2 linked regions of the Canis lupus familiaris genome follow. The protein of the gene in region 2 purifies or fractionates together with the protein of the main gene of each other region. This does not show direct contact. Links are inferred from orthologs where the notes say so. Each region holds a gene or a part of one and is shown on either strand. Other genes may lie near its edges.

Evidence for each region.
Region 1: the proteins of PPP2R2A (region 2) and CDCA4 purify together in Homo sapiens (affinity purification with mass spectrometry; 4 studies listed by BioGRID and IntAct, with this or other methods). This does not show direct contact. The link is inferred for Canis lupus familiaris from reciprocal best matches to the Homo sapiens genes PPP2R2A and CDCA4.

The regions. Positions count from the first base shown.
Region 1 is NC_049229.1:72,871,703-72,876,176, reverse strand, and holds the start of CDCA4 (cell division cycle-associated protein 4), read left to right. Parts: upstream 1-1,272; 5' UTR 1,273-1,308; coding exon 1,309-1,629; intron 1,630-1,695; exon of another isoform or gene 1,696-2,006; coding exon of another isoform or gene 2,007-2,009; intron 2,010-4,474. UniProt on the Homo sapiens protein: May participate in the regulation of cell proliferation through the E2F/RB pathway. May be involved in molecular regulation of hematopoietic stem cells and progenitor cell lineage commitment and differentiation.
Region 2 is NC_049246.1:31,374,604-31,378,633, forward strand, and holds part of PPP2R2A (serine/threonine-protein phosphatase 2A 55 kDa regulatory subunit B alpha isoform), read right to left. Parts: coding exon 3,958-4,030; intron 2,859-3,957; coding exon 2,694-2,858; intron 1,541-2,693; coding exon 1,371-1,540; intron 1-1,370. UniProt on the Homo sapiens protein: Substrate-recognition subunit of protein phosphatase 2A (PP2A) that plays a key role in cell cycle by controlling mitosis entry and exit. Involved in chromosome clustering during late mitosis by mediating dephosphorylation of MKI67.

The DNA of each region.
Region 1 (4,474 bases), on a different chromosome or scaffold from region 2:
GTAAACTAGGAAGTACTGGGACGCCTGGTGGCTCAGCAGTTGGGCACCTGCCTTCGGCCCAGGGCGTGATCCTGGAGCCCCGGATCGAGTCCCACATCGGGCTCCCGGTGCATGGAGCCTGCCTCTCTCTGTCTCTCATGAATAAACAAAACAAAACAAACTAGGAAGTACTTGTGGTCCTAGGCTGTCCGCGAGCCGCTGCCCCCCCTCCTCTTCCCTCCCGCCCACCGCTCTGACTCCTACCTGCACCCCTCTTCTCAGGGCCCCTCTCCCCTCCTCCTCGCCCCTCCATCTCATTTCCTCCCCTCCATCCCCCTCCTCTCCTGCCCTCCCTTCCCCTCCCTCCCGTCCTCTCCCCTCCCTGTCCTTTCCCTCTCCTCCTCTCCCCTCCCCTCCCCCTTTCCCCCTCCCTGCCCTCCCCTGCCTTACCCTCCCCCTCCTGCCCTCCCCTCCTCCTCCTTTCCCCTCTCTCCCTCCCCCCCTCCCCTTTTCCCTTCCTCTCCTCCCTTTCCCCCTCCTCCCTCCCCATCCTCTCCCCTCCCCTCCCCTCCGTTTCCCCCTCCCCCTGCCTCCCCTTCCCTCCTTGCCCTCCCCCCCTCCTCGTCCTCCCCTCTCCTCCCTTTCCCCCTCCTTCCCTCCCCGTCCTCTCCCCTCCTCTCCCTTCCCCTGCCCTCTGCCCCCTCCCCCCCCCCGCTCCTGCGCAGGCGCGCCGGGGCCGCGCGCGGAGACCTGGGAGCGGGCGGGGCGGGCGGGGGTGTGGCCAGCGCCGGGCCCCAACGGCCGACGCGTCCGCGCGGGAAGTCTCGCGCCAGGCCCCGCCCGCGGTTTGAACCGGAGGCCCCGCCCCCGCGCTCGGCCAATCAGCGTGCGGGGCGGCCGGCGCCTGGCGACCCTTTGTGGGCGCGGAGCGGCCCCGCCCCCCGCGGCCCCGCCCCTCGGTCGGCGGCGGGCTCGGGCTCGGGCTCGGGCTCGGGCTCGGGCGGGGACGGCGGGGACGGCGGGGACGGCGGCGGCCAGGTGAGCGGCGGGCGGGCGCCCCGGGTCGGGTCGGGGGCGGGTCGGGGGCGGGTCGGGGGGGCCCGCGGCCCGGGGGTCGCCGCGCGGCCCGGCCCTGCCCTCCCGCCGAGCCCACCTGCGCGCCGGCTCCTTGTCCTTTGTGTCCCGGCCTCACCGCTTCGAGGGGCCTCGGGGCGCGGGTGCTGCGGGCCGGGCCGGGCCGGGCCGGGCCGGGGCGGGGCGGGGGCGGTCAGCGGCCCGGGGCACGGACTTTCTGGGCAAGTTTTGCCGTGTTTTCCACCCGAAGCGGAAATGCAGGATGCAAAGTCCCGCTTTAGCATCTCCCGAGAAGGAACCGTGTCTCGGAAGGGCGCCAGGAAGTGTCCCCCAGCGTCCGGACCGGGTTTCCAGGCCCAGACACTGTATTTCACCCCAGGCCCAGGAGCAGCAGCCGCGGCAGACGCCCCGCGGGGACCCCAGGCCCTTCTGCAGCCGCCCTGCCTGCCGGTCTTCTGGGATGACATATTTCGGAGACCGCCTGAGCGTGTGACCGAAGCGTTCACGTTATTTTGCCTGAAAGACCTGAGTCAGGAGCGAGCTTGCGGGTGGCTGAAGGTCGTAGGGATGCGCCAGGTCAGGGCCGAGGCTGCCCCAGGCCCCCCAGGCTCTGCCGGCAGCCTGGGCTGCTGGGCACATACGGGAGAGCCGCTGCAGGACGGGGAGGTCCCCTTTGTCTTGGGGGCGCCCTGACGGATGGGCACAGCACCCCCCAGGCCCCACCCGCCACGCGGGACCCCTCCCGTGATCTCTGCTCCATCAGCCCTTGGTCTGGAGGCTGCTGTGCTCTGACCTAGGGCTGAACACCCATGGCCTGCTTGTCCCCTGACGTTGGAGGGTTTGGAGCAAAACACCCTTAACCTTGAGGAGGTGATGGGATTGAACTCCGCAGGACCCTCTGGCCGCGTGTGGGGGGATGGAGGTAATACCAGCGCTTTCTTGTTCAGAACTGAATGGTGAGTCTGGGTCTGCAGTTAGGGCAGCCTGGGAAGCGTGGGGTCTTGTGTGCTGATTTCGAAACGTCCAGCCCCAGGCCACTGTCACGGGCTGCCCCAGGAGCTGTAACTTGGACCAGCCCGGCCCCGGGGGTCTGTGTGCCCACCTCGCGCTGACTTTGTTGTGAACACGACTGTGTGGGGAGGGTGAGGCTCTCCGGCCCCCTTCAGCCTGACGCATCACCTCCACACAGGCTCTGGGACCCTCCATCGGCTCCTGGAATTGGATGTGCTGCCCTCCGGCTACTCCTTCTGAAATCCTAATCGGCTAGCGCTTGCTGGTCCCGAGCGTAACAAAAATTAACAGTTGTTCAGGGGTTGGAACATCAGAAGGGAATAATTAGAGTGACTTTGAACACATACTTGTCCTGGCATGCCGAGTGAGATCCAGCGCTTAGTGATGCGCGGGAGGCACTACCTAAAATGGTTTCAATTTAAATGAATGTGGTAGCCTCCCCCGTCAACTGGATTCTGTATTTTTCTTTGTAACCAAGGTATCATTTAGTTAATACAATGCAGTGGGCAGTTAGTAGTTGTGCAGTTGTGTGAATCTGACCAGGACCATGCACCTGTCTAGATAGGGTGCATTTCCATCATCCTGGAGACCTCCAGACCATCCCTGCCCCTCCGTTGGCAACCATTCTGCTATTTTACACCTTAGGTTAGCTTTACCTCTTCTCGAAGTTCATGTGAACAGAATTATAGGGTACCTGTTTCTTTGTTCTTGCTTTGTGATTAGGCGTGGTGTCCGAGGTTTGCTCTCGTTCCGTAGATCAGCGTGAACTTTGTTGCTGGATCGTGTTTGGTTGTCAGACATACCACAGCTTACATGTTTGACTTGCTTATTTTGAATCTGAAAATAATGTTTACACCCGGGGTGGTGAACTGGGTTTGTGGCAGGAGTATGGAGCAGGGATAATGGGTGAAGTGGTGGTGGTTGGGGGGACTTGCCAGCAAATGTGAGGAAGTCCATACAGAAAATCCTGGTGGAGAGTGAATTGATTCTGCTTCTTAGAAAGCAGCTTGATAATGTGGATCATGTGCCTGTCAATAAAGCCCCAGGTCGGAACCGAGCATCACTGTAACTGAGGAGATTGTGAGTGGTACAAATGCAGGGAGTAAGGCTCAGTTCCTGCGCTGTGTTTATCCTGAGGGTCGGCTTTTGCTGACATGGAAAATGCAGTAACCAAGAACAGCTCGCAGTGAGCTCTCATGCAGAGAGGAGGCTGCTTAGGGAGATGCTGGGAAGAACCTGTGTGGTGACTGCTTCTCTGATGAGTCGGCCACGGTGATTTTTGTCTTGTACTTTCTGATGTTCTTCCCAATTATGTACAGTAAGCTGCGGAAACAGGGGAAGGCGCCTGCATGAGAAGAGCAAAGGCTGTTATTGGAAGTGGCTGCCACCAGGGATTGGGCCACCTTCTGGCTTGCAGAAAGACACTTGGGGACAGGCAGGGGAGTCGGACTGGAAGGGCTTCCAGGGCCCCTGATGGGGTTGCAGCCTGAGGAGCCAGCCGCCCTGGTGGCTTTGTGGGGGGAGCACGTTTGGATTTCTCTAGGAGGTGGGGACAGATACTAGGAAAGCTGTCTGTTATTGATGAAGTCCAGACCCTTGAGGGTGATTGTTACAAAAGTCATTGGTTTCCTGGCCTGTCATGGAGATAGAAGTTTGACTTCCTGGGCCGTGTTAACCTTGAAAATGAAAGTTTGTTATTTCACTAGCAAAAAATGGGTTTATTTGGGAATAACAATAGCAGTTCAGGGCGTAAAAATTAGTAAAACGATGCCTTTTAGAATGGCATCAGGAGGCGGGCAGGAGGAGCACTCACTCCCACCACTCACTGACCGCTGCAGACCCCACAGGAAGGTGCGCCCCTTGCTCCTGAACACACTGCTACCTTCCCAGCAGGACAAAGGAAGGTTTTCTCCTGCCCTGGCAACAGCCCAGCCAATGGGAGACTGTCCCGGCCCAGCCAATGACAGATGGTAAACCGGCGTGAGGCTGCTGTGGATCCGAGGAAGCGGAGGGTGGCGAGGGCGGGGGGGAGCCGGGGGTACCCTGGGCACATTCTGGTGCTCGCTGTGGCCCCCGCCTCTCCTCTGGGCTCCCGCGGCTGTTGCTGCGGCTGCGGGTGTAGCCGGTGCCCGGTGCGCACTCGGGCTCTGGAAGCGGACTGTAACCCACCCCACCCCCCATCCCGGCTTCTGGGTGGAACGTGATGCTCCCGCTCCGCAGGCCGCGTTGGCCGCCCCGGCTGTGGGTGCACCGGCTCCCGCGGGCTCCCTGCCCCGACGGCCGTCCGGAGGACAGGGATGCTGTCCGAGGAGCCCCCGCGGCCACAGCCGGGCCCTGCTGCTGACTCGTCTTGCCGGGGGCGGAAGCGGAGGCTCAGGCTCATCCTGTGATTCCGGGGCCTTCAGTGGGC
Region 2 (4,030 bases):
AGCCCACATACAGTCAGGATAGAAGGCAAAAATCAAAATATTCTTTAGTTACACACAGCTCAGTAAGTTGTTCATATAAATCCAACAACAGTTGAATCTGCATACACTGAGTATAAAATGGGACTCTACTCTGAATCACTAATCAATTTCAGTATAGGCAAAAAAATCCCCTGCAAATCAGGTAAAACATAATTCAGCAAAGTTTTAGAATGCACAGACAATGCACATACAAGGGTTTCTCACCAATTTTAAAAGACTATGAAGTTAGGTTCAAATCAATTATTCACAATGGCAACCAGGGGGTGGTGGTGGCAGTGGCGGTGATAGTGAGAACCACCCAGGACACAGATCACAATCTTGGAAGTTACACAAATGTAATTTGAAAACAAAGCAGGATGTATCCCTTTGGCTTTTGTTTCAACATAGCACTTATTTTAAACTTTCAAATACCATTAAGGTAGAGTCTTAAGTAGTTTACGTTTGTCAAAGAGGATTAAAAAGTTTGAGAAACATCATTCTTATTTTATGGAAAACACACAACATAAAGAAGATACCATTTATAAATTCTGTATTCTTACACAGTGTTCAAGTGTCTTCTACACTGTAGTCTAGGGCTTACCTCAGGCTTCTGTTTGCCCCCACCTGGGCTCCTGTCCCTGGCTGTGCATGTCTTTATTCTTTATTCTCTTTTCCAGAAGAAAAGGATAGGGGAATCAATGGTAGTGTGGCTGGCTGAACTAACATTCTACAACCGACAGCTAAACAACTCAAGCCATCCTCTGGGCTTTCAAGCTCTTCTCCTTTAGCTTAAGAGCCAAAAGGCAGAATGCCAGTCTATTTCACTGGGCATGCCAAGATTAATAAGCTCTAGTTCAACTATTCCACATATTCCAACCAGGACATCTCTACTAGGACTGGCCATTCTCCCTAATTCTCTTCCCCACCTAGACCTTATGAGAGTACTTTCCCTCCTCATTTTAAATGTAATGTAGATAGGGAGTCTGGGTAGCTCAGTGGTTGAGCGTCTGCCTTTGGCTCAAGGCATGATCCCAGGATCAGGGACAAGTCCCACATCGGGATCCTTGCAGTAAGCCTGCTTCTCCCCCTCTGCCTGTGTCTCTCAAGAATAAATAAATAAAATCTAAAAAAAAAAAAAAATTAATGTAGACAGTGGTGGGGGAAAAAATGGTCAATATTGAACCAAACTGGTAGCAATATCACACTTTAACTGAAGAGACAACACAAATTATAGAAAAAGCCTAAGGGTCAACCATGCAGTATTGGGATTAATGCATAGTACAAAATCCTCCTCTATAAAGACTTAGAAGTAAATAGGGTATATGCTAATTGAAAGAAAAAACTATAAATACCTGGTATGTTTCCACAGGCCTGTTTTCCATATTTAAGTCCCAAATTTTGACTGACAAATAGTCTCTAGTCATCATATATCGACCACTATGGCTGAATTTTACATCGGAAATCGAGGAGATGATTTCAGAAAAAAAAGACCTGTTACTGGGATCTTCAGGTTCTTCAAACACTAAAAACAAGAAAAAAAAAAAAAAAAAACACAAGTTGTAGAACATTCTGGCTTCAACAAAGCCCTTGCTGAGACAACCATTCACAAACCTCCTAAGAGTGAGCTAGAGATGATAGGCTAGTACAGAACTGAAAAACATTGACTATAAGAACATAACCTCCCTGTAAGTTTCTTAAGGGGAATGACTTAACATTGACTTCAAAGATACAAAGTATATATAGTATGCTCCAGGGGCCTACAGCTGATTTAGCAGAACCAGGCACATCCAGGACTTCGGACTTCAAAGTGCACTGGGTTTGTTCTGTATATACCTCAATGACTTTGCCTGTACTGTCACCACAAGGGAACACACCACCCAAATGTATACCACATTTTATTTTATTTTTACATTTTATTTTTTTTTTATGGCCAGGTAGAACTGTTTTGGTAACAGACATGTACCAATTTCCATGAATTTAAAAAATACTCAACAACATGAAGACAATAATAATGCAACCCCTTAATTTTTTAACCCAGTGCTTTTTCAAACTTTTTTTTTTTTAAACCAAGGAAATCTCTTCTCAGAAAAGTCTTCCTAGAAAGCTCAAAACAGAAAGCAATAAAGAAAGGGTGGGAGGAAAATAGAGAAGGGAGGTTAGGAGGGAAGAAAAGAACTACTTTACTTGAGACCTGGAAAGCCCAACCCCAAGTTACTCGAAAATAACATTCCATTTGATCCCTGGGTGGCGCAGCGGTTTGGCGCCTGCCTTTGGCCCAGGGCGCGATCCCGGAAACCCGGGATCGAGTCCCACATTGGGCTCCCGGTGCATGGAGCCTGCTTCTCCCTCTGCCTGTGTCTCTGCCTCTCTCTCTCTCTCTGTGACTATCATAAATAAATAAAAAATTAAAAAAAAATTAAAAAAAAATTCTTATAAAAAAAAAATAAATAAAAATAAAAATATATCCACTGAGACATCAACAGACATGCTCCCAAGAAAGCCTTTTATGTTCTTCCAGTAGAATAACATACAATGTCTCATGTAGAGTCAGAAAGCTTACCAAAAGGTACAGGAGGCCCTGCGCACACAGGTTTTTAGACTTGTAAACCTATCTAAGTTAGTCACAGTTTCAAAAACAGAAAACAGCACTTGAAAAAAAGACACAGTATACTTACGTTTAGAATGCCTATCACAGAGGGCAGAGGCCCGCATGTCACATAACCGAATAGTTCCTTTACTGCTGCTGTATACAAACGTGTTGCAGCTGTTTGGATGGAATTCTGCTGCCGTAATCACCTCAGTTAGCTCTTCCATATTGGCAGGCTTGATATCCACAATATCTGAATAGCATTTTATTAAGGAATTTCCACTTAAGAAAAAGGGCAATATAATTCTACATTTCTCAAACCTAAAATTCATTCATAAACTTAAACACAAATATTCATTCTGAATTGGATTCTACTCCTTATAGGAGTATAAATCCCAGAGGAATCAGAACTTCTAATGCTTGGGGAAAAAAAAAACCTCAGAAGAAATCATGTTAAAATAAGAGGGGCCTAAAAAAAAAAAATAATTAAAAGAGGGGCCCTTTTTTCTGAGTATGATACAAATCTCAGAAGCCATAAGGAAAAGACTGGTAAGTTTATTTTCCTAAATATTAATAGGACTTAGTGTACATTCCAAATAAAACAAAAGTAAAAAACTTTAAGGGGGCAAAAAGGGGAACCTATCTGCACCACAAAGGAGTGGATTCATTTAATAACAAAAAAGGTGCTTTAAAAGAATTACCCCCCACCAAAAAAAAAGAATATATATAAACCCAATTAAAAAAACTAGAAAAGAACAAAAAAATATATAAATGGTTAGTAAATAGGACTTTCCACTAACTAGACTGGTAATGCTACACAGAAACAAGCTCTTTTAGATACTGTGGATAGAGTATAAATTACAGTAAACTATTGATTTTTCAAATGATGTCTACTTAAAAATACATAAAACAGTAACACTAGCAATAATAACTGCAAACACTTCATAACAGATATGAATTTCTTTGGTAACTCTACTAAGAATATTTTTGTAATTACATTTTTAATGAATAGTACTCCATAAATTTGTTTTATAAAAAACTCAACCATTAAAAAAATGCCTATTTTTATAGGTATAACAGTATTTAATATACACGGTATCATAGCAAAGTACTTAGTATGAAGTACTAAACTTAGTCTAATAGTACTTAAAATACTAAGAATCCTATTAATACATTATGCTCTTTATCAAAGAACTTCCCTCACTGTCTAGTCACTTAAACACAAAGAAAAAGGGGCATAAAGTAAGAAGCTACTATAAAGAGAATAAATAAAAGGAGAGATGAAAATAAATGTAGTATGGGCACAACATGCCTTCTTTACCAAACACCAAAAAAAGAAACCAAATGGATACTAAAACTCCTGTCTGTGATCTCCAGATGCCAAAGATTAATCCGTAAATCGTCTGCAGATAAATATGTTTCATA